3 linked regions of the Astyanax mexicanus genome follow. The protein of the gene in region 1 purifies or fractionates together with the protein of each later gene. This does not show direct contact. Links are inferred from orthologs where the notes say so. Each region holds a gene or a part of one and is shown on either strand. Other genes may lie near its edges.

Region 1 (9,909 bases):
AAGTTACTTTATTTCAGTAAACAGATGTACAACACACACAAAGATCTAATTATTTATTTTTTATTGCTGATGATTGGGTTACAGCCAACAAAAACCCAAAATGTGTCAATGTGTCTCATAAAATTTGAATATTATATAAGACCAATTACTACTTTTGGCAAGGTGGACAGTTTGGGTTGTAATACATCTATATAATATATGTATTTCACATTTTAAATGGAATTACTGAAATAAAGTAAGTAAGTAAGTAAGATGTACTAGTATATACAGCTCTGGAAAAAAATGAGGAGACCACTTAATAATGATGATGTTTTTCCTCGATTTAACACATTTGAAAACCTCTGGAATATAATCAAGAGGAAGATGGATGATCACAAGCCATCAAACCAAACTGAACTGCTTGAATTTTTTTAAGTTATCAAAAAGCAGTGTGAAAGACTGGTGGAGGAGAACATGCCAAGATGCATGCTGTGATTTTAAACCAGGGTTATTCCACCAAATATTGATTTCTGAACTCTTAAACTCTGTCTTAAACTCAATGTTTTCTTTGCATTATTTGAGGTCTGAAAGCTCTGCATGTTTTTTGTTATTTCAGCCATTTATCATTTTCTGCAACAAAAAAAATGCTCTAAATGACAATATATATTTTTTGGGAATTTGGAAGAAATGTTGTCCAGGGTTTATAGAATAAAACAACAATGTTCATTTTACTCAAACATATACCTATAAATGGCAAAATCAGAGAAACTGATTCTCTTAACTGGTCTCTTAATTTTTTTCAGAGCTGTATATATCTTATACACTCATATGGATCTTTTAGCCTGACTTGCTGCTTTACGGTGCAATTAGATTCAAATAATCACTTCCATTGTGATGCTGGCCAGTAACAGGCATCTGGTGGTAGATGCATCAGAGCTGGAGGCAGAAGAGGTGATGGCAGAATTCATATGAAATGGAGCCTAAAGAAAACCACAATATGCCTAAAAAAGTCTTCAACATAATAAGACGTCATCTCAGGATCTACAGAGACCAATTCATTGTCTGAAAAACAAATCATTAGGGTACGAATAAAGATCTGTTTAAAGCACATAGTTTCTACTACTCTGTGCCATCTGCTTAAAACATGCATGTTGCTAGCATGGTTGTCATAGCCAATTAAATATGTTAGTGTGTTGCAGAAAAAAATGCCTTAAGGGTCTTAAGAGAAATTGTTGCGAACCTAAATGTTCTCTTAACAGTCCCTTTAAAATATTTAGGAAACACAAAACCTTAACATCAAATGCCTATATGTTAAAGTTAGTTTATTATTTAAGATTTATAATTAAAAATTCTGTTTTGAAATCTTGGATAGAGGAAAAAATAGAGTTTAACATCAAATCTTGAATACACAGGACTGTGTAAAAACTATTCCTATTATGAATATCCGCAGTATATAAACTATTTAATAAACACAATAATAAAAGCAAGTGTTTGTAATAGTCATTTATGGGTTGCTTAGAGAACCACAGGCTGTTTTTGTGTTTTCTGTGAACTCCAGTCACTGTATGGCTGTGTTCAGAACCATCATGTTCATGCATACAGGCCACATAAATGATCCCAATGCACATGTTGTATGATGTAAATTCCAGGAGTCTGTGTCTTCATGAAGGGTCTTGATTCTTTTTATAAATTGCTAGTTACACGCTTGTAATTTAAAAAGCAGAGAATCTATGCCCAAATAGAAAAAAAAAGATTAAAAGAACACTTGTTTATGTTTACCCGATGCTGAACACAGGGTCACATACCAGTCAGGTGTATATTGTGTATTTCTAGCTTTTCTCTTTCTTGCAGGTTTTTATCTACATCTGCAGCTTCACAATTACATGGGTTATCATTTGAAACATGGCCAAGCAAATACAAGGTTGCCCCCTACAGCGAAACAGATATTAAAGCTGAGAAACTCCTCTCTTCTCTTCAAGAAAAGCAAAGAGCTCAGTTTAATCTGCCTGAATGTCAAATGCATCTTTAATTAATACACAATACAATATAGTCAAATACACATTTTATTATTTTTTTCAATAAAGTACAAAATGTGTGTATATTAAATATTTTTTGGGTTTACAAATCTTACAAAAGAAAGAAAAAGTGTTTTACATTTGCTGCAAAAAGACAAAAATTATGGTGTCAAACAACTGTCTGACCAAATGATAGCAAGTAAGAAAAGAGAGTCAGAAAATGAGAAAGAAAACAACCAAATTTAGTACAGGTTCGTCTTCTTCATTATCCGTAAGAACTCCTGTTCATTGATTTCTCCGTCTCCATCTCTGTCCGCCTCATCTATCATTTCCTGACAAAGAGGAAATGAGTGTTAGAATAATGTGAAACAATATGACGGAATACAAACAACAAAGAAAAAATTTCCCTGATGCCACCAAGGTTCTTGATCAAAAAGATCAAATCAGACAGGATTTAGTCTGTACTGAGTCACTGTAGGCACACCAAGCCCCAGTTCATCCTGTCTAGTGGAACATGATGACACAGACCTTTGTTTTCACACAATACTGAGGGCATCACTGCTTGCATAAACAACATTACTCCAGAAATACAAAGGGACATTTATTATTATACCACATTTAGTCTACCCGCAATACAATTGGCCAAGATATAATATTATAGTAGTATTTTAATTAAAGCTCTTTGGGTATTACCCTGCCACATTATAATTGTTACACTGTTATTCATATGGTGGGCATACCCAACATTAATACAGTTAACATTTAAAAAAAGAGCAATACTGTTGTTAGATAGGTACAAGTATTGTACACTGTGTGTTTTTTAAGACCCATAGATCAGCCAATCAAAGGGAGCACCTGCTGCACTATATAAGGTGGAATAGGTAGAGATAGAGTGGATGAATACTGAAAGTTTTCCTTTTTAACAGCTTTAGGAGTGTGTGCGCTGATTAAAATAATCTGTTCCATCACCTTATGTTTTGGCTATTTCTTGTCATTCTGATGATTGGGAAGTCTGGGAGTCTGATTATCTTTATCTGCTTTGAAGAGTTAACGTACATAACAGAACTGAGGTATAATCTCAATAAAACACTTGAGATTGGTGCTGTAACGTGAGGTACGTGTAGGTGTACAGGTTATAGCAAGCCCTCTTGTGTATTAATGCTTATTTACCAAACTCACCTGTAATTCCTCATCCGTTAGATTCTCTCCAAGCTCTTTGGCGACTCGTTTAAGATTTTTGAATGAAATTTTGCCTGTCCCATCATCGTCAAACAATCGGAATGCTTTTAGGATTTCTTCTTTTGAATCTTTTTCACTCTGTATTGGTCAGTAAGCAATAAAGCACAATATGCAGAAAGATTAAAGAACATAATCTGGATTTGCTGTACATGCAGTATTTGCACAGTATACTAATTTACTTCACAGAATACCTTTCTGATATATAAAGTTTCATGCAAATGTTTGGGCACAGCTAACTAAAAGAGCTGTTGTGAAAAGCTCAGTGAGTAAAGGATGACCTTTCCTCTAAAAGGAAAAAAGTTAAAGAAGACAGTTTTCATTAATATTTAAAAAGACTAATTTTTACTTCCTTTCTTACCGTTTCAAAAAAATGCAAAGGTGAAATATTATCTGTGACAAAAACTGCAAATCCAAAGCATGATCAGTTCGACTCTGTGCTTTACAGTTTGAGTTTGAATTTGATTTCTTCAAATTCTGGAGAGAAGTACATGGCTGCTGATTGTTGAGACAATATGTAAAGCTTTAGAGTTTGCATTACATCAATTTTTTAATGATGACTGCAACAGCTCCTTTCCCTTTCTCACTGTAAATCAAAGAGTACATAACAAATAATACTGTAATCCTGATTACATTTTTTTACAAGAATTATTGATTCATGCCTTTTGAAGGGCAGTTTATGTTCTACTCACTTTACATACATTTTTTTAGACATTTCACATGTTTGCTTATTTAGACAATTTACCATTTTCTGGGTCATCATGGAGAGAAAGTCATTGAAGTTGATGGTGCCTGAGCCTTCTTTGTCAATGTCAGCAATCATCTTTTTTATCTCCTCCTTTTTTGGCTCAAAACCAAGAGCACGCATAGCAACCTGAATGAGATAACAAAAAGACACAGATCTAATTACCTGATCTGGGGTGTTTTACACTTATAGTTGATTTGCTGTAAATCAATTATCAAGTTTGTAAACCCCTTGGTTTGTTTTCACACAGAAAAAAAAACAAGTGAATTAACTAAATACATATTGTTTCTCGTTTTCTCCCCAATTTAGAGGGCCAATCACTCCCTTCATCACTAGTTATGCCCCTAACACTAGGAGGGTAAAGATCAGGCTATGTCTCCTCTGATATATGTTAAGGCACCAACGGCCTCTTTTAAAACTGCCGCCTTTGCAGCATCAATGGATAGGTAGGAGAGCAAAGTGTTGGTGACATCAATTTGCATGCCCTTACCTTAAGCTCCTTAACATCAATTGTGCCTGAACCATCAGTGTCAAACAGATCGAATGCTTCTCGAATCTCCTGCTTTTGTTCCTCTGTTAGATCCACTTTGGGACCCCCTTTCTTCCGCTGGTTTGCCGTTGCACTGGGTTTTCTGAAGCTGGATGCCTGCATGAAACATAGGGAGGTGAAGCCACTGGCTGTAATTTCTCCTACAACTGTATAGTTCACTAAACATTAAATTGCACATACAAAAAATGAAGATGTCACATGGCAAGCAGACTTACAAATACAGTGGCAAGAACAAGTATGTGAACCCTTTAAATAGTATGTGCACTTTTAATTCTCAAGTGCAGTCACACAGACAATCAAAAACTTTATGATGAAACTGGCTCTCATTAGGACTGCCCCAGTAAAGGAAGATGAAAAACTATCTCTGTTGCACAGGCTAAGGTCATCAGAGTTATCAGCCAAAAGCCCCCTAAATAAGAACCACCGAAATGCTTCACAGAATATTGATATGTTTAACACTTTTTCATTTTACTACGTGATTGCTTGTCATGCATTCAGAGAGTAATAAAAATGCTGGCTAAAAACAGCACCAACCCAGTTATATTCCAGTAAAAGAAAAATATAAAAAAAATGTTTTGCAATGCACACAAAAGAAGAATCTAATTGAAATCTCTAATATAAAGTCCAGTTAAATCCAATTAACTAAATATTTAATTGTTTTGTCCATTGTAATGGAGGCCTTTGTTTAACATGTTTATTTTATATTCGATATTTCCTTTTTTATGTCACAAACCATTTCTACACAGTAACTACTACTGTTTCTGTGGCTTGTAAACTTTTTAATTGGCTGGTTCTTGCTCTATTCTGATGGACAACAATGAGTCTCAATTAGTATTATGTAACAACACAACATTAAAAAGGAAATACGTGATGTCCATTGTAGCAGACGCTGAATTTAAAATGGTTAACTTATTAGCTAGCTACTTAGCTGCCACCTTTAGAATATAGGTTAGATAACCTAGCTTAATTAACAAAGGAGCTAGGTTCTTGAGTTAACCTAGCTAAGTAGCTGTGAGCTTGCGTTAGTTAACGTTACTGTTACCATAGGAGACCAGCGTTAGCTTCACTAGGCTAGTTAGCTAGCTTGCTAACAACAACATCTGTCAGGTGTTCACTGTTTGTAAGTTACTAGCTAATTTAGTCAGAACTAGCTAACTTACATATAATACCTTGTGTTTTTGAGTAAATGAGCAACTTATCGACCGTCTTACCATACTGAACGTGGCGTATCCAACAATAAATGCTACTTTTCAGTGTAAAACCAGCGAAAATACTACTCCGCCGCAACTCAACTTTCTGATAGGCGTGACCACCAAATGATTGACAGCAAAGCACCCCAATAAGAATCTAGCTCAAGCCCACTATAACAGAGCGCACTGCCAGCAGACCAATCAAAATGTAGTATGGGCGGGCCTTCAGCGCTTGATCGGCAACTGCGTGCTCGTTTGGCAAGTCTCTTAGCAACAAGCGTGGATTTGGGGGCTGACCCCCAGTGCGCATGTGCGCGGTGGCTCTGTGTGTAATAAGTAAAGCTGGGTCCGGAGTTAACAGAGCGGTATTTCTAGAGCTCTGTTAATCCGTATATAAACTGTATGTCTCGAATTCTCGCCTCAGCGATGTTGATAAAAGGTTTGTTCGGTTTTTATGCTCTTTGTTTTTATTTTTCACAGGATTCAGCTGGATTTAGGGATAGCTAGTATAGCTAAAAGAGCTAACGTTAGCTGGCTAACTGGTTAAGTCACCTAGCGCTAGCTAGCTAATTCAGCTAATATCAATGTAGAAAAAGAATATATATAGCGAACTAAAGCGGGTTTCTATTTAATACATTTGATTCAATGTGTTTTATTTATTTCATGGTTCTTTTATATCGTAAGTAAATGTTGAAGACATAAAGAAACACGTGTTGAATTATTCTGTAAACAAAAAAGTTTTAAAGTATAAGAGTATAATTTACTCTAGAAATAGTTACAACATTTAGCTTTGAGGACAGATCTGCACACTCTTGGTATTTTCTAAACAATAGCTGCTACTTTTCCTCGTGTGCTCCAGTTGGGTTTTGTTTTTTATTTTTTGTTTGCTACATAATTCTAATAATTATATAACTATTTTGATGTATTTTTATATTAATATACGACGTAGAAAATGAGTTAATAAAAAAAGAAATAAACGCACTAAATGACAATGCTACTGTAATATTGCATTTTTTAATAATTTATATAAATTTATAATAATTTATATTATTTATAATATAATTTATAAACCACTGTCTCAGTTTTTCACACTTTTTTTAATGACCAGGACCCCACAGAATCAGTGTAACGTTTAGCAGTTTAATTTTCTAACCGTATCAAGCTCCATTTAAAAATAAAAAAATGGGTATTGAGCTTAATCTTTTTTTTTCAATTCAGGTTAGTAAAGAATTTTTTTTTTATCCAAATGTAGGTTTTATCTAGGTTTTCATTTTAGCCTTTCGCAAACAGAATTTCAAGAAAAATTTAAAGTTGAATCTTCTCTTGATTTTACAGATTTGTCCATTTTTTTATCTTGATGTTATTATCCAACTTGCAAAATGCAAAAATGAAAAAATAAGAAAATAATTAAAAAATAATAATAATTTAGATTTTTTCCATAAATTCCGATTGTGAGGGGCAGAGATGAAAAAACAAAATTTGGAAAAATTACTGAAAATTGATTACACCTAATGTACTCCTTTATGTCTCTCTAATACACAGATGTCAGCTCTAGGAAGTGGAGCAGTAAACCAGGGTCGACATATTGGTCTCCAGCAGCTGGAAGCTGTGGCTGCTTCCACCCATTCTTTTTTGGGTCCTAACAAACGCTATAAATTCATCCAAGATGAGGCGACTGGGGAGTCTGCACTAGTCTGCTCCTGTTACCGTCTACTGGAGCAGCTGGAGCTTAGCAGCTCTGTTGGGCAGCTGCTGCACGAGACTGTTCGGGCCCACCAAGGGACACTGCACTCGGGCACTGGGACTGTGGTCTTCCTCGCAGGGGTCTGGAGCAGAGTGGCCCTGGAGTGTCTTCACAAGGGCATCTCCATTCCGCACATCATAGCTGGCATGTCAAAGGGCTTGGACTTGTGTGTGGAGGTCTGCAAGCGTAATGCGGTGACTGTGGAGGAGGGGATCTGTAAGAGTGCTGTACAGAAGCAAACGAATGGCTTATTTACAGGACTTTTTATAGATACAGGAGTGAAGAAATCAACTCAGGATGGTGGTGTTAAATCCATAAATGGAGTTCTTAACCAAGAGAAGCGTCCTCTAAAGCACAGAATAAAGCTCAAGCACAGCAGGCACTTCAATTCAAGTAGTGCAGGGGCTGAGGAAACACACTCTGTGGACTTTACATCACCAAATTTACACCAAAAATGTTCAAAAACATTAGACTTAACTCCGCTAGCTGAAGCTGTGAGCCATGGATGTGAGGCTTCCATGAGGTTAGTGATGGAGGCTAGCAGGATTCAGTCTACATATGTCCCACAAGGTCACAGCAGTCACAACTTTCTAGATGTTGATAGATTAGTGACATGCCCATTGCCAGGGCTGTCTGAGGAACATTCCTGTGTACTCCATGGGTATGTTGTGAAGTCATGTAGTGTAGAGCAGGTGTCTCTAGTCAAGCATTTCGAAGAGCGGGCGTTAAAAATCGGCCTTATAAATGGCGACCTCACTGAGTCATACCGCCATGTCGGTTTCAACAGGCCTAAAAATGTCACATACATTCATGATTCGTGCATCTCCACAGGAGTCAGTGTAGAGCAGGAATGGATGGACCGTGCATTGAGAATACTCCTCAACCTCAGCATAGACATTCTCCTTGTGAATGGAATGGTCACTTCACAGCTTAAAAGCCACTGCCTCAGTCACAACATCCTGGTAATTGAGCATGTGAAGGTCACAATTTTGAACAACTTCGCTACAACTACTGGAGCTGTTTCTGTTTCTTATGTCACACAGCTTAGCGAGCGCTGTGTGGGATCTGGGGTCCAGGTTAGCGTGCTGAGAGACTATCAAAATACACTGAAGACAGAATCGTCAACCCTTTTGAACATTGTAGCTAGTGCAACTACTCTGGTCACGGTGATCATTACTAGCTCAGTTCATGCTAAGCTCCAGAGCCTGGAAGATCAGTTCTGGAGCTGCACCTATCGTCTGCATCATGCACTCAATGACGGAAAGCTGCTGCCTGGCGCTGGAATGACTGAACTGCTGTGCATTCGCCAGCTGTACAGACATAAGGATGTATCCCAGAACAGTAAAGACAGACAGAAAGATGTAGCACCCTATGAACCAGTGATTCTGCAGCTGATGGCAGAGGGCTGGATGGACTATATATCCACTCTCATGTTCAATGCTGGTCAGGTTACAGCCAAAGCACACGCATGGACACACATAGCCCAACACCTGAAGGAGTTTGAGAGCAAGAGCCTTCCAGGTTGGCTGAAAAGTCCTCTTAAAACGTATAGTAACTCAACAAATGCAATACAAGGAAAGGGAGACCAGGATAGAGGCGAGGGGACAGTGGAGAGAGATGAAGTGTATGATAATATGACCGTGAAGTTTGAGGCCTGGAGAGGAGCTCTAGATCTGGTGTTTTTGATTCTACAGACAGATACTGAGATTATTACAGGAATAAATGAGAGTGATAGTCAGTTTAGAGATGTCATGTTTCTGTAATCTCTCTGAACTGGTAAAATGTTAACCCTATGTGCTGTGTCACATTTTGTTATTTAAATATACATATATATTTTGTTTGTTTATTTATTTACTTGTACTTGTATTTAAACACTAAATAAAGTTTCAATCTTGTATACTGTTGGCATCTGGAATACTGTACGTTGGGCAAGAAAAAAACTTCACCACTAACATTACACACATCTAATTGTCAAGTGTTAACCCCTTGGCAGGGCTTTCTAGTGAGAACCAACTTTCAGTAACATAAAAACTGCATCTGATAATGGTATTTTGTTTTGTCACACATTCAAACAGCAACACAACAAGCTAAAATCTTTTTAATGGCTTACTCCCTCCAACACATATATATATATATATATATATATATATATATACGCATGCTGTCCCACTACAACAAGAACAAAAAAACATCAATCTTCTTCCTTTTGACATAATTCAAAACTACTGTTTTTTTTACATTGACCACCAGAAAGTTCTACATTCATTTACATTTCCTTACTCTTGTGTAAAGCAATTATTTGGGAGATTTCTGTAAGATTGATCTGGAAATTATACTCATGACTGTAGGGCAGAATAGAAGAAACCTCATTTTCATTCTGTTCTTTTCACTTTGTTTCAGTAATGCAAAAACTTCCTCTCTTCTATGGCCGAAACCAAACATAAACAGCC
Region 2 (10,575 bases), on another chromosome or scaffold:
CCATGTTTCACTTTGGGGATGCTGTGCACTTTGTATTTAGGCCAAAAGGTTCAACTTTGGTCTGATCTGACCACAGAACCTTCTACCACATGTTTGCTTTTCAAACAGCACTTCTTATATCTTTCTTTCAACAGTGGTTTTCTTCTTGCCACTCTTCCTTAAAAGGTCAGACTTGTGGAGTGCACGACTTATAGTTGTCCTGTCGACAGATTCTTCCACCTCTCTGCAGTTCATCCAGAGTGATCATGGGCCTCTAGGCTGCATCTCTGATTCTCTGATCAGTCTTCTCCTTGTTTGAGCTGAAAGTTAAGAGTGACGGCCGGGTCTTGGTAGATTTGCAGTGGTCTGATACTCCTTCCATTTCAATAGGATCGCTTGCACAGTGCTCCTTGAGATGTTTAAAGCTCGGGAAATCTTTTTGTATCCGAATCTGGCTTTAAAAACTTCTCCACAACAGTATCTGGGAACTGCCTGGTGTATTCCTTGGTCTTCAAGATGCTCTCTGAGCTTTAAACAGAAATACTAGACTATCACAGAGCAGGTGCATTTATACGGAGACTAGATTACACACAGGTGGATTTTAATTATCATCATCAGTCATTTAGGTCAACATTGGATCATTCAGAGATCCTCACTGAACTTCTGGAGTGAGTTTGCTGCACTGAGAGTAAAGAGGTTGAATAATATTGCACGCCCCACTTTTCAGTTATTTATTTTTAAAAAAAGTTAAAAAATATCCAACAAATTTCGTTCCACTTCACGACTGTGTCCCACTTGTTGTTGATTCTTCACAAAAAAAGTAATTAAAATTTTGTATCTTTATGTTTGAATACTTTTGCAAGGCAGTGTAAAATGTGTGATAGATGGGAATGTGCTGGTGTAAGAAGGGAACTAGATAAAGGTTTAATTAGAGGAAATCTCAGCAGCGTGGTGATGGTACTGCTGGTTTAATGAGAGGGTGATTTGACGCTATTGTTCGGAGGTTCAGGGTACTGTGTGTTTCTGTGGTTGGGTGTCGGGCATGAGCGATTCTTTCCCAGGGAAGAGAAACACAACAGTATCATTATGCTCAGACTGGGAGGACGCGAATGCACTGAACTCGTGTGGTTCTCCCACAATGAAAAAGAGAGAGAGAGAGTGGGAGCGCGAGAGCGAGATACGATGGAATGCATGTGTAAGAGTGTGTATGACAGAGAGCCAGAAAGAGAGGGCGAGAGAGAAAATCAAGAGAGAGTTCCTGTAGAAACTGAGAGAGAGTGTGATTACAGATCAGCAGTGGGGCTGTGATACACAGGCATGGCTGAAATTGTTGGCATCTATTACATTTTTTTCACTGTTGGCGGAAACAACTGTAATCAATCTTTACTGATAATTAATAACGAGTCTCTGTGGAGGAATTTAGTTCCACTCTTCTTTACAGAATTATTTTAATTCAGACACATTGGAGGATTTTCCAGCATAAACATCCTGTCTTTAGACTTTAACTAGACCCTACAAACCCTTCATTTAGTTTATTCATCCATTCAGAGACAGTGAACTTGTTGTTTGTGTGTTTTGGGTCATTGTCCTGCTGCAGAACCCAAGTAGTGCTGAGCTTGAGATCATAAACTTGTAATGTTGTGTATCCAGAACAATTGGCCAAAATGTGTGGTACAGAAACATTTGGAAATACAGCTGTGTAGACTATTTCAAGAAGCTTATTAAAAACCTCTGTTTACATCCTATAATGCTAGCTTCAGGTCAGAGCACCACCATTACTGTACTGTACTGTATAATAACATACAGCACAGTAATGGCGGAGCTCAGAGCTTGTTTACTTTTTAAGTTATTAATGCCTCGTTTTTAAATGTCAGGACTCTCTGGATTCTAGCAAGGAGGTGTGGAGCTACTTTGAGCTGGATAACGGTGTAAAAAGCGATTTATCAGGGTAAATTATGCCCCGTATCACCCAGTCTGAAGAGTGTTTGGATAAACTGTTAAAATTACTAGATTTCAGAACACTGTGGGAGAATGGAGGTGTGCTATTCATCAAAGGTAAGAACTTTTTATCATGTTTTACTACAACAAAAGTCCATTTTACACCGGAGTTCTCCTTTAAGAAGAACAATAGTGTGTGTGTGTGTGTGTGTGTGTGATCTGAACTAATGGCCGGAGTTTTGTGAGCAATCCTGTAAGAAATGAAACACCACAAAAGAAAGAGATCCAGGGGTTTCCCAAAACTCCACACAAACATCTGATCTGCATTAGCCTGACGTCCATCCAGCCAAACAGCGCAGACAGACGGACAGACTGCCCAGGAAGATGAGAGCCTGGACAACAACACCCCTGATTACCTAAAGCCGAGTCTGAGACACGACCAAGCCAGAGATTTAAAACTTACAATAAAACACTAAACTCGCCTCCATTACTGCGGTAACGGCTGCAATTACACGTACTATACCCAGAGGACGTTTCATTTATCAGATACACATCATCATCATCATCATCGTCATCATCATCATCATACTACAAAACCTTCCTCTATAAGCCTATAGATTAAAGCTGAGCAGCTCTGAGAACTGTGGGCCAATCTGTAAAGCAATCCTGACCTCTAGTGGTGAAAACACAAAGCGCATCTTTAAAAAAAATTAATAAGAGAGCACCTAAAAGTGATGAGTTTCTTTGATTTTAGCAAATTGAAAACCTCTGGAATATGATCAAGAGAAAGATGGATAATCACAAGCCATCAAACCAAACTGAACTGCTTGATTTTTTTGCACCAGGAGTAAAGCAGCATAAAGTTATCCAAAAGCAGTGTGTAAGACTGGTGGAGGAGAACATGCTAAGATGCATGAAAACTGTGATTAAAAACCATGGTTATTCCACCAAATATTGATTTCTAAACTCTTAAAGCTTTATGAATATGAACTTGTTTTCTTTGCATTATTTGAGGTCTGAAAGCTCTGCATCTTTTTTATTATTTCAGCCATTTCTCATTTTCTGCTCTAAATGACAATATGTTTATTTGGAATTTGGGAGAAATGTTGTCTGTAGTTTATAGAATAAAACAACAATGTTCATTTTACTCAAACATAAACCTATAAATAGCAAAATCAGAGAAACTCTTCATTTTTTTCCAAAGATATATATATATATATATATATATATATATATATATATATATATATATATATATATATATATATATATATATATATACTAATTTGTTAATAGAACTGACCATGAAAACCTGAGAACTTAAAGCCTGAGCAATAATAGCTTAGAAAAGATATTTGGCAAGAAATAGTATGTGAACTCCTTGGAATTTCATTCCAGTTTTCTGCATAAGTGTGTGCTTAAAATATTAACACAAAAATGATGTTCTTGCAGGTCTCAAGTGTACATTTCTCTTCAGGTTAATTCATAGGATCCGAGACAGATCTGGGCTCTGACTTGTTTTTATCAAGCCATTGTCTTGTGCACTTGCTCTGGTGTTTTTGTTTTTGGGTCATTGTCCTGTTGCATGACCCAAATTCTACAGAGCATTTTAGCCAGTACCAATGATTTGATACATTTTTACATAGTTTGCTTTACTGTAGACTAGTGAATTTTCCTTTTTAAACACTTTTTAACCCCTTCCAGCTTCATGTAAATAAACAATTTTTGATCATTGATCCTCTGAAAGCTCTTTTTGGTTATTTATGGCTCACATATGCAAATCCTTCTTGTGCAAAGTGTTTTTTTATCAGTCAAATTAGTTCTAAACCACACCTCCAAACTAGCAAAACTTCAGGTATGCTAACACTTAAAACTAATGAGCTATTTCGAGGCCATTAACACAAGGGTGCACTATGAGTTTTTTTTAGGGTTGTTCTCAATAAAGACAATAAATAATCATATTTTTTGTGATTTTTTTAGGCACATTATATTTGTCAAAACCCTTGGCTTGGGTGAGGACCGGATTACATTTTATGACAGAATTATTCGAGAAAACATGAAATTCCACTGTGTTCTGGCACAAAATGTTTTGTTTGGTTGATTTTTTTTATTTATTATTTATTACATTTCAAACTCTTTATTCTTACACTTAAGGCAGAAAACTCACCGCTGTGTGGGTCATATTAAATACATTATATACATTTCCATAAATATAATCTGTAGTATAGCTGTAAATCTGCACCTACCTTTATCACAAACTTGGAGAGCTGCATTTCAAATTACCAGCAGCACCTGCAACAAAAGTATTATTAAAATATCTGTATTTCATGATTCAATTAACATTAAATAAACATCAGCTGATAAATCTATCTGGTGTAGTGAGGTCAGTCCTATCTATCTATCTATCTATCGATCTATCTATCTATTTGTATAGGCACATACAATAAACTGTACTGTTTAAGAAAGAAAGAAAGAAAGAAAGAAAGAAAGAAAGAAAGAAAGAAAAGAAAAAATAGCCATTTGCTGTGCTAAAGCTTTTTTGTTTCATGATTATAATTGTTTCTTAAAACCTCAAAACATTTTTAAACATTTTTTTTTCAGTTTATTGTAAATATTTGGCTACAATGTATTATTTATTATTTAGCTACTTTATTGAATGGATATATGTTTTTTATTCTTTAAAGCTTCAAGTTAATACAAAGAAATCACAATAGAAAACAGCATGAAAATATAGGGAGAATAGGAAAACAAAGAAAGATTAACAAGAGGTCAGTGAGAGCTCATCACAGGTTCTTACAGTTTTTTTTTTTTGTTTTTTTTTACATTTCCTATTGTTAGCAATTCTGAATGATTTCAAAAGTGAGGTAAAATCTAGTATAAAATATAACAAATTTTGGTATTAAGGTCGAGTATTTACATCACTGAATTTAGTGTTTACTTAATAAAATAACAATATTAATAATATACTCTATATCTAGGTTATTGTGTGGAAAATGTTGGTTTTCTTCAAAAAGAAAGAGGCAAAGTCTCACCAGAATTTAGAAACGATAGAACATTCAAGAAAAAAGATGTGATACTGATTCATAATCCGAATGACAAAAGGAGCATTTAATACTGTATGTATATTTTTTAATTATGCAATTTTCTCATTCGTAGGATCTATGTTGAAAATGTTATTTTCAAATGCACTTCCCTTGCTTTATTGAGGACACAAAATAACATGCTTTTTTCCTATTTATATCTGGGATCATGGTATTCAAAAAAAAATCCCTCTAGGTGTAACATTTTTTTAAATGAAACACATTCCTTATTGATTTATTATTATTATTTATTATTATTCTTCTTATTTTAGGCCGAAAATACAAACACTGCCTACTAAAAACTGACGTTCCTCTTTCCTGACCTTTTCATATGAAATCTGACCTTTCATAAGGTGAATAAGACAATTTGGGATCGCTTTTATGACAGAGTTGAATTCCTTATAAACAACAGGGAAACAGTATTTACTCATAAAATTACAGTCGGTATAAAGGTTCCCCTCCTCATTAAATAAATCAAGCAGATAGTCTATTGCTTTACTGTGCAAGTTCTCAAGATAAAGTGATTTACATCTTATCAGCATTAATTCATTATTACATAACTTTGTTTTCTGAGGGGAGAAATTGTGTACAAACCAAAGCTTCCATGCTGTCTGTCCGTCTGTCTAGTATGATGAGGTCAGTCCTATCTGTCTGTCTGTCTGTATAGTATGATGAGGTCAGTCCTATCTGTCTGTTTGTATAGTATGATGAGGTCAGTTCTATCTGTCTGTCTGTCTGTCTGTCTGTCTGTCTGTCCGTCTGTCTAGTATGATGAGGTCAGTCCTATCTGTCTGTCTGTCTGTCTGTATAGTATGATGAGGTCAGTCCTGTCTGTCTGTCTGTCTGTCTGTCTAGTATGAGGAGGTCAGTCCTATATATCTGTCTGTCTGTCTAGTATGATGAGGTCAGTCCTATCTATCTGTCTAGTATGATGAGGTCTGTCTCCCTGTCTGGTGTAGTAAGGTCAGTTCTATTAATTTGTCTGTCTGTCTGTCTGTGTATTTGAGAGTGTGTATTTCAGGTGTATATGGTATAAAGGTCGGGTTTACCGGGTGTAAAATGTAAATAAGGAGGTGAAGTTGAGCAGCTCGCGACGCGCAGATTCACATCAAAGCAAACAGGCAGCTTCCCGCGCTTCTCAAAGCGTCACGTGACCTTCAGGACCCCGACGCTGCCAGCGTTCCTATAGAAATCGCGGGTGGCTGTAGATCTGCCTGCGCGGACTTTGGAGGAGAGATATAGAAAAATATATTATAAATATATATATTTTAGATAAGATATATATTTAATTTATTTCAGTTAATGTGTTTTATGTTGTTTGGTCTGATAAATCTGTTATATTAGCGATCGAGAGGCGTTGGGCAGTTACCTGGGAAACAGACGCTAAGTTTATTACCAGTAGTGTTGCCAGATTTTTTTTTTTTTGCGAGTTTTGTTCTTTTTGCTAATTTGTATATAATATATGATATCTGTATGCCTTTATTGAAAACGTTTTTTTTGCTATTTAAACTCTTCATGTCCAGGTGGACGGAGTCTGTTAAATTGTAGGTGTTATATGGTAGTGCATATAAGCACATACAATAAACTGTACTGTTTTATAAAGCAGTGGAAATAAATAATAGGCATTTGCTGTACCAAACAAATTCGTTTTTTTGCTTTTTTGTTTTAAAGCCTCGAAACCGTTATTAAACCAATGTTTAGGTTAGTTGCAAATGCTCTGTTACTTCTAGGCAATTTATTATTTAAATTTCAGAGATTTATTATGGTGAATATTCGGGATTAAATGAGAATGGTTTGTCTGGAGCTTTTTAGAGCTATCTGGCAACCCTGAGTTGCCAGCAGCCTGAGCTAGCGTTAGCATGCTGAGTGTAAACTCAGCGACTCTGCCAACTGACAGACAGACAGACAGACAGGTAGACAGCTGTTGCGGGTAAGAGCTGGTTTATTACTGTGGGTTACTGTAGGATTTATTCCTCAGTCTAACAGTCTGTGGTAACTGTAGCTAAATAAACTCGCTAAGCTAACCGCTATCTAAGCTAACTATCTACTGTCTGTATGATTTACCAGCTAAGCTAAGCTAAGCTAACTGAACATCTAACCTATATATCCCATATTTTACCATAGCTTAGCTTAGTTTACCTTACTAACTGCTTAACTACTGCCTGTCTTTCTTTTTCCATCTCTTTGTTTCTCCATCTCTCTCTTTTTCTCTCCATCTCTCTCCCTGTCTCACTCTCCTTCTCTTTCTGCCTCTGTCTGTCTCTGTCTTTCTCCTTCTCTCTCCTCTCTGTGTTTGTCTCTCTGTCTGTCTGTCTGTCTTGCTCTTCTCTCTTTGCCTCTGTTTGTTCCTCTGTCTCTCTCTCTCCATCTGTCTGTCTGTCTGTCTCACTCTCATTCTCTTTCTGCTTCTGTGTTTGTCTCTCTGTTTGTTTCTTTATCACTTGTTTCAATTACAAAGAAACAAATTCAACAGTAATTACAAATTTAGTGATAACATTAGAGAATTAGAAATATTAATAATTTAAAACTGTAAAACTGTCTCTCTCTCTGTATGTGTCTCTCTCTCTCAGTAATGAGTCGTGTGTGTAAGAAAGCGGCGTCTCGCTGCACGGACGATCCCCTGGCTGTACCTGAGCTCTGGCAGAAGTTCGCCGTACTGCGGCTGATGCTCTCCTCCTGCTATGGTCCACGCGGCAGGTTCAAACAAATTCACAACAATGTGGGAGGACACGTTCTGACCACCTCTACCTCCTCAGTGTTACTCAGAGCGCTGACCTTCTCAGAGGATCTTCTGAAACTCGTAGCCGGGGCGGTTATTAACCACGCGGCACGGCTCGGAGACTGCGGACTGTTCACGGGAATCGTCTGCATTAACCTGGTTCAAAATGCCAGGGGGATGAACCTCAGCGCTGCTCTGGCAACCCGGGTGTACAGGCACCTGTTAGCAGAGTGCAGGAGGTACCTCAGGTCGGAGAGCTGCGGCTGCAGGGTGGAGGTGGACTTCAGCAACGTCCAGACGCTCATAACTTTAGCCAGAACTGTGATCTCCAGCAAGAGGGTCTGCATGCTGACGCCTGAAGAGCTTCAGCACATCAGCTCTGTAACAGTGCAGGCTTTCCTCCTGTCTGTCCCGTCAGCTCCATCAGACTCATCACACTCATCAGCTCCATCAGGTCCATCAGAATCATCAGAATCACCAGGCAGAAGATGCTTTGGTAGGACAGTGACCATACCGTTGGAAGGTCTGCCGGTGGGCGACTCGGCGGTTTTCCCCGGCTTGTTGCTGGACCTGCCGGTCCTACAGTCTGGAGATCTCCAGAGGTTGGGTCCCGCTCCCTATAAGATCGCCCTGTTCAACATGTCGCTGTCCGGAGATCTCTCAGACATGGAAGATGCAGCGCTGGAGATCCACGCAGGACTAAACCCAGACCAGGTTCTGCTGGACCAGCTGCTGAAGCTTGGAGAGCAGGTGGTCAGGGATGGTGTGGTTCTGTTCGTATGTCAGAGAGTGATCCACCCGGTGCTGCAGCAGTACCTGAGGGAACGTGGGCTTCTGGTGATCGAGAGGCTTGGAGCTGCTCTCGTGGAGCCGCTGGCTCAGATGACGGGTATGAACATGATAATGTTTCCAGTAGGGCTGCAACATTTAGTCGATATAATCGACAATGACAATTATTTAAATTTGTCGACTACAAATTTCATTGTCGACTAATCGTTCATTTCTAACAGTACTGCGTTACACAAAGTGCTGGAGACAGAAGAAACTTGGTCTGTGTCTCCAAAAGTGCCCAAACACAACAGATTACATATGTATTCACTAAATATCAGTACTCTCCACATTTAAACAATATGTGGACATTTAAATATCTTTTAAATCTCATGTTTAGCTGTTTTTCTGTTGTTGTTAGAGGTGGAGGACATGGCAGATATAATCGCTGACTAATTGACTAATCGAAAAAATGATCATCAGATCCAAATATAAACCAATAATAATCATCAGATCCAAATATAAATCAAAATAATCATTAGTTGCAGCCCTAGTTTCCGTACATATTACTTTAAAAACATAGTAAAACATAAAAAACCTGCACTATGGACCCATATATGATGAGTTCCCCAGTTTCTGACACTTACTGTCAGTGTGTAGTCATTCTCCCCGGGATACATTAGGTAAACTTGTAGCTCATACAGCTCTGGAAAAAGTTTTCTGAAAGTTCTCTGATTTTGCTATTTATAGGTATAGAAAATGAACATTTTATTCTATAAACTACGGACAACATTTCTCCTAAATTCCAAATAAAAATATTGTCATTTAGAACATTTATTTGCAGAAAATGAGAAATGTTCTTATAAGTTCAGAAATCAATATTTGGTGGAATAACCCTGTTTTTTTAATCACAGTTTTCATGCATCTTGGCATCAGGTACTCCTCCAGTCTAAAAAGTTTTCAATTTGGTAAAATCAAAGAAATTCTTATTTTCTTTTTTCCAGTGCTGTTTATTATGATGAAGTGTCTGGTCTCTGTGTTGTCGGCTGTAAGAACAAGCAGCATTTTCTGAGCTGCTGATTTTGTGTTGGCTGTGTGCTTTACTGTTCACTCTATAGCACTTAAATGAAATCAAAAAGAAGACTAAATACAAATCTGATTAATTAAAAAAGAATTAATGAAATTAACATACAATTGAGGCTTAGTAACTATAAATAAACAACTATTTAGGTAAATAAAATGTATACATGCTTTTAATGTATCAGGATAAAAGTTTTTAACATGCAGTATATTATTGTGTATAATTATTGTGATTTATTAGGAAACACATTTGTTGTCATTTTAAGCACTTAACTGTAAATATTTATCTATATCCCCACCGTGGGATTAATGAAGGATTGTCCTCTCTTAATTGATCAGATAATAGCTTATCATAAAATAATGCAACTCCACTCATTTGAAAAGTGGTTAAGTTTCTAAAAATGTTTAAATATTCTACATAGGTTAATAAATCAAATAAACCCTATTTTTAAATAAAGTCGACTTACAGTCAAGTTAATTGTGGCTAATATATATATATATATATATATATATATATATATACTTTATTTAATTTGAACTATTTTTTATCTTATTTGGACTTTACTTAACGTAGATCAAAATATTGGCAAAAAATTCTAAATGTCTAAATTCTGAAAATATTTGCATCTGGGCTGGTATGTTTTATTATTACAAAGCAATATATTTCAGCTATTAATGTAAAACGTAAAAACGTGTTAAGAGTGTAGTACAAAAACGCATCTGTGTAGTCTGCAACAGGTGTTACTCTCGCTCTTCCTTTTCTGGGGTGGTCCTGATGAGTGCCAGTTTCATCATTACAGTGTTTCTGATGGTTTTTGAAATTCTTCTTTTCAGATTGACTGAACTTCATTTTCTTCTTTATTTACTTGAGTAGTTCCTGCTTCTCATAATCTGGATTAGAACATTAGTCAAATATTCACTATTCACTGTATAGCTGTAACTCTACCTCTTCACAACTTTACTTTAACTGATGCTCTCAAACACATTAAGAGACAAGAAATTCAAGTAATT
Region 3 (9,899 bases), on another chromosome or scaffold:
CTCTGGTTGTGTAAGGAGAAGTTAATGACGTGATCCAGAGGTGAAAAGAGCCTGTCTATGATAGTGTATGGCTGAAGTAGTGAAGCAAGGACACATTATGATTCGTTAACCTCACTGACCTCTTGGCACGGACATTCATTGATCCCTTTTCCAGGAACATCTGCCTTTGACATGAACAATATTCCAGCCTCTTTGACTCAATTAGACAAGAAGAAATCAAGTTTACATGCTTGGTTGTTGTTGTAGGCTACCAGATCTGGAGGATTCTACACACTGGCAGAAAGATGATGCACAAGATGACATGAAAAAAACAACAAGAGTAATGCAATGACTGCAGTGCTTGTATTTTATTGTACATTATTGTTAGCATGTTTATTAGAGTTCCAGTATTAATAAGTATTAAATACATTGCAAACATCTAATTCTACATACAGTGTTTCAGTATGTCTAAAAAGCACATTGCCACAAGATAACACAATAAAAATCATGTTATTTTACGTAAACAAAAACAAGACATGTGATCATATGTGGAAAACAATATAACCATGTAAAAAAAAACATGATCATGATCACTTAAGGAAAACAGTGTGGATCACTTGGGGAAAATTATCACATAAAAACATGATCATGTATCTCTTGTGATAAAAATGTAATAACGTAGGGAAAAAAATGGTCAGATCATAAAAAACATGCTTACATGTGGGATTATGTGTAAACAGACATGCTCACATGTGGACAACATTTTAGTCACGTGGAAAAAAAGTGTAGTCACATCTGGCAAACAGTGTGGTCACGCTGGGGGGGGAAATGTGATTAGGTGTGAAAAACAGTGTGGTCACATGAGAGAAAATATAATCACATGTGGAATAAAATATTTGATAATATGGAAAACAGTGTGGTAAAAAAAACATGCTTTTATGTGAAAAAAGTGAGAAAAACATAACCCAGTGAGTTTTTAACTGTTTTGTATGTTTGTTTATTTTAACATCAATTATCTTTGTGCATGTTCTTTTAGAAAATTGCTGTTTATTTGTCTAACAGTAGCTCTGTTCAATAATGGCAAATAATTTAGTTAAAATAAAATCTTTGTTCTTCTTCTTAGCTGGTAGGAGATTTGATATATGTGTTGCAGCCGGTAAAATGAAGATAGTAAAACTTAGGACATATAATTCAGCAGCCATATATATTTACCAATGCGCATTAAACATATTGTAATCAGAAACAATACTGTGTCCCGAGTAATGTTCCAAATATTAGGGAAAAAATGGCAATATAAAGTCGAATTTATGATATAAAATCAGTTTATGAAGAGCCTACCCACATTCTTCTCCGTTTTATCAGAAAATTACTGTGAAACAATAGAGGGAGCCCACAAGTGAGTCCAAAATGAATAGGGGTGAATAGGGGAATTAAAATGAGCAATATCCACCTGGCCAGAAATTTTCTTTAATTTTGAAAAGCAAAATAATATAAATAAATAATAAAATAATGTTGCAAAAAAGCAAAGAAAATGTACCTATACTTGTCCATTTGTCTAGAGCAAACGGGTTTCAGACAACAGACGTGCTAGAATAACTGCTGCTAGTGAGCTGGGCTCGGTAGCTAACCTAATTTGGTTGACTAGCTATAGCAACTTGCTAGCTTAAGTAACTCAAATGATAGTCTAATGTTGGCCAACTACTATAAAATCACTACACAGATAACCTAACTGTGGCTACATAACATAATATTGGACACAAACTAAACATTTTCAGTAAGACAATAGAAACAATTAGCTTAGCTAACAGCAGATTATAGAGTATGATAAAGTTAGCTAGCTAGACCTGTCAGCCACACAGAAAAAAACAGCTCAGAAAAATACAGTTTATAGTCTAGTTTTACTTAAAGTAAAGCTTATAATTCACTCAATAATAAACAATTTGTATGGAATAATTGTATAGAAATCTTCATACTAATTTCTTCCAGATAAAAATAGGTTAGCTATCTGACAGCTGATGTTAATTAACGTTACTCCAGACAGCTCTTCTTCAGGTTTTCTTATTCACTGAACATTAACAGCCACTCAATCCAGCAGTTGGGTCCAGAAAAAGCCCAAGAAGAAATTGTGTTCTATTTAGGAACATAAACATGCAGTTTTTCATCTGAATTATCCTCAAAAGCTGGGAATGCTGGCTGGCTAGATTTCAGTGGTCAGTCTTGGACACTTCCAGAACTTCATGTTTCAGTCACAGGATAATAATCCACTCTGGTTGTCCAACATAGTTTAACAATATAAGATGTTTGTAAAGGCTTTTTTTGGCGAAAAATTACATCCAATGCATGATTTTCCATACTTGTCTCTCTTTCTCAGAAATTGTGACCCCTGAAGGACCCAAAGTGTGGCCCTCTGAAGGACCGGCTGGGGTGGAGGGCGCTGTTTCCTACAGAGTTCCTCAGCTGCTTCAGCAACATCCACAGTAGGAGCCCCATCAGCAGCAGCAGGAGCATGAGGATCCCCAGATACACGCTCACGTTCCAGCCCCATTCCATCGCAAGAGGCATAGAGGTGGAAGCCACCAGGAACTTCTTAGGAGCAGGCATCAGTTAGCATGGATTGAATGCAACCGCCCTGGTTCTTCAGGGGGGTCCCACCCCAGGGAGATGTTTAGGTTTGAGGCGTAGCATCCTTGGTTTTCGCATGTAGAAGCAGACCATCTTCTTTGTCCTCACATCTCCTTGAGGTCTGGTAGTGTCCTCTGCTGCTGGCAGAATGAGGCAGCTTTTCCAAACCCCTGCGTCTCTGTGTCTGAGTGTTGACCCCTCCCCTGGTGCTGAAGGACATTCATTGCCCTGACTTATGCGCTGGGGAAAGTGCACACACTCACACACAAACACACACACACACACGCATGCATATGCTCATTCTCAAACAGACTCAACAGAGGGAGAAGATAATATCTATGAAAACAGCTGTCTAGTGTTGTATCAGACCATCACACTGTGTCTGTTCAAGTGTCCTCATATTGCATGAGATTTATTCAATAAGAGAACTGACAAAATGTTCTCGGCATCATCAAGACCAGATGAAGGCTGTTACGGCAAGAGCATTTTGTCCATATTTTTTGTAACCTGCTTGATGATGAAGGCTTTGTGCACGCTGTTGCATGAATTTGCTTATAATTAGGATAAATAAGCCTATGAAAAAAAATCATGAAACCCGTTAATCAGAAGCTTACATTGCTTCTAATAAAATATGCATGTTCTCTAATGCACATCATCATTCATAATATGATCATAATATTTCTTTATAATATTTATTAATATAGACTTACTCTTACGCAGATTAAAAATATACACAAAGATATGTAAAAGAAAGAACATGACAACATTAGATATCTTTATCAATACCAAATCTCAAAACTTAAAACTTAAATAAGCAAGACAATGCAGTTAATTCAGAACATAATAAGCATGATAGGGTATTGCAAGCAAACACACCCACATATAGACCTATGTATGCAGTTTAAGCCTTATAAAAAATGACATTCACAGATAAGACAACTAGGTAAGACAACTAGATTAGATAACTTTATAAATCCAAGAGCAAAATCCACAAATTGCAGTAGTCTAATATACAGATATGGCAAAGAGATCAGTAAATCAAATATATTGATTTGACTACACAATGTGTACACAAGTATAGAACTTTATAAAGAATATAATAAATAAATAAATAAAAACTACAAAAACAGAAAATTTATTCATTTTATGCAAAGTGCAAGTTAGGGTGGCAAGGTTAATTGAATGAATTATTATTTTCAAAATGGGGTCATTTATTTCAGTAATTCAGTTAAAAATGTGAAACTCATATTATATAGATGTATTGTACCCACAGTGATCTAATTTAAGCATTTTTTTTATTGTTTATGATTATGTCTTACAGCCAATGAAAACCCAAAAATCAGTGTCTAAGAAATGTTGAATATTATATAAGACCAATTGGTCCTTTTGGCAGTGTGGGCAGTGTACCAAGTCTCGCTGGAAAATGAAATCCATATCTCTATAAAAGTTGTCAGCAGAGGGAAGCATGAGCTCTGTAATAAAATAGCATAGCGAACACTTCCTATGCAGCTATACGGAAGAACAATAACATTTGTAGATTCTTAAACCATGTGTTCAGTTTAGTAAATTATTCTCTTATTTGCCTTTTTGAAACATTACCCCAATCTGACCCTGCTTCTTTTGGAGTAACTGCATCTGCTGTAAGGAATTGATTGCAACAAGAGCATTAGTGAGGTCAGGGTGTTGGATGATCACCATCCCACCTTATCCCCAACTTCCTAATTTATCACATTGCATAACATTCTTTAAGGTTGAAGAGGGAAAAAAACATTAAAGCAACCTTTATTTAACATTGCCTAATAGCCAATAGTTAATGTTAAAATTCTGATGTTGAATCATTGTTCATTCCAGTTTTTGAATGGTTGGGGCTCTGAATTCACACTTACAATGATTTTAGGTGTACAGTGCTTCCCACAAGTAATAGTATTGAGTGTATTAAATCAGATGTCTCTAAAAATAATTTCCCACTGAATGGGTGCCATTTGCTTGTTGTAACTCTTCCAAATTAAACTTATTTTTTTTCAACTCTGAATCTAATAACACCTGTATGTAACTATTCAATACATGTACTGGTCAATCTTAGGCAGCTTTACAAGGTTTCTAAGCTGAAGATGGTTACAAAACTCATTTGACATTTAAAAAGCATGTTTAAAAGCAAGTCCACTAATTCTTTGATTGATTTTCTCTCAAGAAAGCGTTTATTTTAAAGAAATGGTTGACTGTATGTTCAAATAGTTGATATTAATGACAAAAAAATTACACCTGTTACTGGAACTCAGTCCTGTTTCTGGCACACATTCCTGTTACTTTTATTTGTTTTAAGTAACAGGAATTAAAGTAACAAGACTGTTTTTAGCATAGAATTAGCAAAAACATGAAAAATAGCTAAATAGCAGCAATGCCAATAGCATGAGGACACTGAGCACATTCTAGTGATTTTCCCACAATAAGATCTAAGAATTAATTTAGGTAACAGGACAGAGTGTTGAGATTGACCTCCTCAGTCATAGTTACAATAAGATCAAATATACAAAAAAAAAAAACTAATGGGGGAACTTAATTTTGGTCTTCTCATGATCTTCAGAAGAACCATCTGATGTAACTTTCTGTTGTAGATGTGTAGCGTTACAGATGTTTCAGATGTTTTACGGTAACAGGAATGAATGAAACCCAGGGACACATCTAAAATGTTTTTAGTTCTTTTATCTTAAGTATTATGGACTTACAACAATGCAAAAAATTACATCTCTGAAAAATTGTAATCATTATTTTTCATGGTAAAGTTTATAGTTAGAGAGTGGGGACAGGTAACAAATGCTATTTTTTCAGTTTTCTAGGTCACTGGCTGAACTACAGTGTTGTTAGCCAATCAGAGTGGATATGTTTGCATGTATGAATATTGCGCAAATATATTCATGTACAAGACAATATGCTTCATAATAAAATGTATTTGAACGTTATTTTGTGTGCACATGTAACATGTAATTTCCTGGGGACAAAAAAGGAACACATTTGGTGGAATGGCTCAGGGGTCTGTACAGTTCAAAAGCACAAATAACAAAAAAAATCTGTTCTTGTGAGAATAAAAGTTTGATCAAAATATTTATTTTGATTAATTCTGATAAATTACTTATTGTTTTAATAATAAAAAAATAAAAGTCATAGAATGAAAAAAAATTAAATTATTGATATTGAATTATTTTTAGAGACCAAAAAAAACTTTTCCAGATTAATATGTATTTCTGCAATATTATTTCCTTTTTTTTTGCCTAATTTGTTTGTCTCCATGGAAACCTGGGATGCGTCAGAGACCAAACATGGCGGCGCTGAGAGGGCAGCTTGCTTAGCTTTGCTGGATGTTTATTAATCTATTCGCTAAGCTTTTTTGCTCTTCTAGAAAATGATATATAATACGGGCTAATGTCGGGTTTTTACCTCCTTCCAGAGGACTAACGAGCCGCGTTAACTCTCACACGAAGGAAAAATCTGTTTCTGCGGGTAGCATGTAAGCTAACTAGGCTTGTTATTTAGGTTAGCTTTAGTTAGCCTTCCAGCTAGAACCTGCGGGAGGAGCGAGGACAGTCAGCAGCACTTAATCCAGGAGTTAATCCGCTCACTGAGACACTGCATTTCTTTCAGACTACGTTTAAACCTCCGAGAAACTAGAGGAAACGACAGATACCTGAACTATCCGGCAGCACACAGCAGAAACACCCAGCTCTGAAGCTAATCGACTAATCAGTAACTGAGATTCCGTGATCTACAGCCAGCTACACCCACATCTGTGATCAAAACAGAGAAGATGGAACTTAGTTTAAACCACGTTGATTATCTTCAGGTAAGAAGCTACTTTTGAGACTCCAAACTATCCAATGCTATGTGATAAGTACTGAAAATTTAAACAGTAGTTATCATTAGTAAACTGTTCACCATGTTATTGGCACGAATAAGCAGGAGTTATTTTTTCTTATTTGTCTTTCAAGGTCGGAGTAACATCCCAGAAAACCATGAAACTGTTACCAGCAGTGGGACGAAAAGCGACACAAAAGGTAAGTTGACTTTTTTTATCTTTCAAATCTTGATCTGTATTACTGTTATGTTTTGGTAATGAATTGAAAGAATGTAGTTACAGAATTCATCAAACAATTGCTATCAAACCATTAATATAAAATTCTTGCACAAGTGCACATACAAAATGATGAAGCATGGCAGCCAAAACAATGAAAAAAATGGTAAAAAAAAAAGCAAATATAATGAACAATGTAATAAAACACATCATCAAAATCTAAAGTAGTTCTAAAACATTGTTATAATATTTTAGGTCCATATTCGCCCACCTCTAATCTAAAACACATTTTTTGAATTATAAAATGTGCATGGTATAACATTTTAATGGTCTCACTCCTTGTTTTTTTTTTCATTCTTTTTAAATTGTCTCTTGATCTCTACTATGAATGAATGCCATGTGAGCCGTTTTTTATGAAAGAAGTGCTCTGGTGATCCAATAAAACTGTGCTTTAATGTGATATCTAGTATGAATGAATGCCATGCGAGCCATTTTTTTTACGAAAGAAGTGCTCTGGTGATCCGATAAAACTGTCCTCTGGAGTCCTCTGGAGGAGTGGGGGGAATTTCGGCTCTTGCTCATGAAAACATACAAAAATCTACTCTGATTGGCTAACAACACTGCAGTTCAGCCACTAACCTAGTTTTAAAGTCTCTGTAAAATGCGAAATCCACCGGAGATCCTATGTAAACCTATGATTACATATGATTAGTCTTAGACTTAGTCTTAGCTGTAAAAAAGTGGGTGGATTTGCCCCAGGCATCCTTCTCTAAGCCAGGGAGTGTAATTAACTTTTACTCTACAGCAGTAAATACAAATCACACTACATGGAGCAGCTCTACATTTGGATTTTTTAACAAGCTGACATATACAAAAGCAGCATCTGTGAATGAGAAAGAAGCATGTGGGCTGAGCCCATAGAGTAATATTATTTATTTTATTTTTACACAAATATGGTTTGTGTTTGGTAGCATTTGTATTATGCAGCTCCACCAAAGTTACATTATAGCACAGTAACAACATTTCAGAGTGGCAATGTCATAGGCACCATTCTCCCTATTACACTCAGTGGAACATCAATACGATTCTGAAGCTGCTAATGTAAGATAAAATTGTTACATAATCTTGCTTTAACTGGATGTTTTTATTAAGTGTTATGTTTTTTTTGTGATTTCTTCCATTTAGGTTGCTGTTGCAGACCACGATGGTGTAGTGAACTGTTTCGGGATGAAAAAGGGAGAGGCTGTGGTGCGTGTTTTAATTATTTTAACATTATTGACTTTATGATGGTTCAAATACTTTATTCACCTATTGGAGATTATATAATTACTGCTAAAGCAAAAAAACTCTATTTTATCCAGCCTGTTTTCAAAAGTCTCCCAGGGCAGAAGATCTCCAGACTAGAACTGGGAGGAGCTTTAGGAACCCCTCAGGAGAAAATCTTTGTATGTTCTGGCTCTGAGGTCAGGGGCTTCACCAAAAAGGGAAAACAGTTCCTTTCTTTTGAGGCCAATCTGACTGAGAGCATTAACGCCATGTGAGTCATTATTTTTTCATTATATGCTCATTATATGCTTCATTATATGCTGGTTACAATGGATGTACGTGACCTGAACGTTAATATTTATACATTGTTGGCAGGCATGTTTCTGGAGCAGATCTTTTTGTCTGTGCCAGCTACATCTACAATCACTACTGTGACTGCAAAGACCAGGACTATTACCTGTCAGGAGACAAGATCAATGACATAGTTTGTTTACCTGTGGAAACAGTGGGCCGTACAGTGCCTGTTCTGGCCTGTCAGGACAGAGTTCTTCGTGTTTTACAGGTGATTGTACTGAATTTAACTCTTATCTGCCCAGCAGTTTAAATATCACCATTCAAAGCTAATAGAAGCCTCTTAGTATCAGGTGAATGAGACAATGCTAACTGGAAGTAGCAGTCCCTAAGATTTTGTCTTTTAAATTGAAAGTAGTAGTATTTGTCATAAGTGGGGGAATAAGGGGGAAAATATTCTAATGAATGATATCAGTGTTCCGGCACAACAATTTAAAAACAGAGTGGTCTGGTAGGTTAGTTGGACGTGATTAATCTGCCCATTTTGACAGAATTCTATAAATGAACAAGAACAAAACAATATACTCAAAAAATTGAATTTTACATAGCAATTTGTTTACATTAACCTGCATTAAAAGTACTGTACCACATGCTCTGTGCAATTACACATTCTCACCAGAGAGGCCTCCAAATCCTCAAAATTTACAGACTGTCACTTTAAACAAAATCCAGTTGAGCTTATCTATAAAAATGAGTCATCCACAATCTTTCCATGTGTTTCCTTTCTTCTACTCAAACATTCTTATTCACTCATAACATTTTAGTAAACATCTGATCCTATAGTACAGTATGAATTCTTGTTTCCTGAAGGGCTCTGAGCTGTTATATGATGTTGAGGTTCCTGGACCTCCATCTGTTCTGGAGCTTCACAACAGAGATGGAGGTGAGCCGTGAAACCTAGGTCTGATGCAGAACAGTACAAAATAGTAATTGAAATATGTAGATATGAGTGTGTGTATGATTGTTGACACAACGTATGTTTTATGTGTAGGTAAGAATGGGGAGGAGGTGCTGTATGGAACCACTGATGGGAAACTGGGTCTGATCCAGTTAACCAGTTCTGCTCCTGTCTCTAAATGGGAGGTGGACAATGAGAAGAAAAAAGGAGGTAGGGGCAAATCTTATAGACAGCTTTGTGGAAATTTAAAACAGTTTTGTAGGTGAGTTTACGGATGGGTGATATTGTAAAAATATAATGAAAATATCATATGTTTTTTGAGTGCACAAGTGATATTTAAAGACCTTTTCATAATATGCAATATTTATTGCAATATTTTTGGATGTAGACAAAATACACTAACTTAAAAATTTCTAACTAAATTTAACTTTTTATTTCATTATCTTCTTAAGGGGTGCTGTGCATCGATACCTTTGACATTCTGGGTGATGGTGTGAAAGATATTCTGGTGGGCAGAGATGATGGGACAGTCGAGGTCTATGGATTGGACAGCTCCAACGAACCCACGCTACGCTTTGAGAATGTATGTGTGACACTGACAGGTTAACACTCTCTGCTGATTTCAAAATAGCTGATCAGTGTTGTTTGATCACTAATCTGCATTATTCTGTGATCAAAAGGTTTTGTCAGAAAGTGTCACATCAATCCAGGGGGGGT

The links.
Region 2: the proteins of bbs12 (region 1) and mkks purify together in Homo sapiens (co-immunoprecipitation; 4 studies listed by BioGRID and IntAct, counting the BioPlex papers as one, with this or other methods). This does not show direct contact. The link is inferred for Astyanax mexicanus from reciprocal best matches to the Homo sapiens genes BBS12 and MKKS.
Region 3: the proteins of bbs12 (region 1) and bbs7 purify together in Homo sapiens (co-immunoprecipitation; 3 studies listed by BioGRID and IntAct, counting the BioPlex papers as one, with this or other methods). This does not show direct contact. The link is inferred for Astyanax mexicanus from reciprocal best matches to the Homo sapiens genes BBS12 and BBS7.

Annotation. Positions count from the first base shown.
Region 1 is NC_064409.1:65,591,517-65,601,425, forward strand, and holds bbs12 (Bardet-Biedl syndrome 12 protein), read left to right. Parts: upstream 1-6,011; 5' UTR 6,012-6,154; intron 6,155-7,257; coding exon 7,258-9,222; 3' UTR 9,223-9,419; downstream 9,420-9,909. Other genes in the region: uncharacterized protein cetn4, read right to left, coding at 2,237-2,326, 3,174-3,311, 3,976-4,104, 4,466-4,627. UniProt on the Homo sapiens protein: Component of the chaperonin-containing T-complex (TRiC), a molecular chaperone complex that assists the folding of proteins upon ATP hydrolysis.
Region 2 is NC_064432.1:14,240,838-14,251,412, forward strand, and holds the start of mkks (McKusick-Kaufman/Bardet-Biedl syndromes putative chaperonin), read left to right. Parts: upstream 1-6,289; 5' UTR 6,290-6,927; intron 6,928-7,567; 5' UTR 7,568-7,569; coding exon 7,570-8,605; intron 8,606-10,575. Other genes in the region: protein SLX4IP, read right to left, coding at 4,164-4,190. UniProt on the Homo sapiens protein: Probable molecular chaperone that assists the folding of proteins upon ATP hydrolysis. Plays a role in the assembly of BBSome, a complex involved in ciliogenesis regulating transports vesicles to the cilia.
Region 3 is NC_064417.1:25,282,880-25,292,778, reverse strand, and holds the start of bbs7 (Bardet-Biedl syndrome 7 protein), read left to right. Parts: upstream 1-5,892; 5' UTR 5,893-6,403; coding exon 6,404-6,439; intron 6,440-6,582; exon of another isoform or gene 6,583-6,584; coding exon 6,585-6,650; intron 6,651-7,852; coding exon 7,853-7,915; intron 7,916-8,028; coding exon 8,029-8,204; intron 8,205-8,308; coding exon 8,309-8,495; intron 8,496-9,094; coding exon 9,095-9,167; intron 9,168-9,275; coding exon 9,276-9,392; intron 9,393-9,634; coding exon 9,635-9,765; intron 9,766-9,862; coding exon 9,863-9,899. Other genes in the region: small integral membrane protein 43-like, read right to left, coding at 2,347-2,580.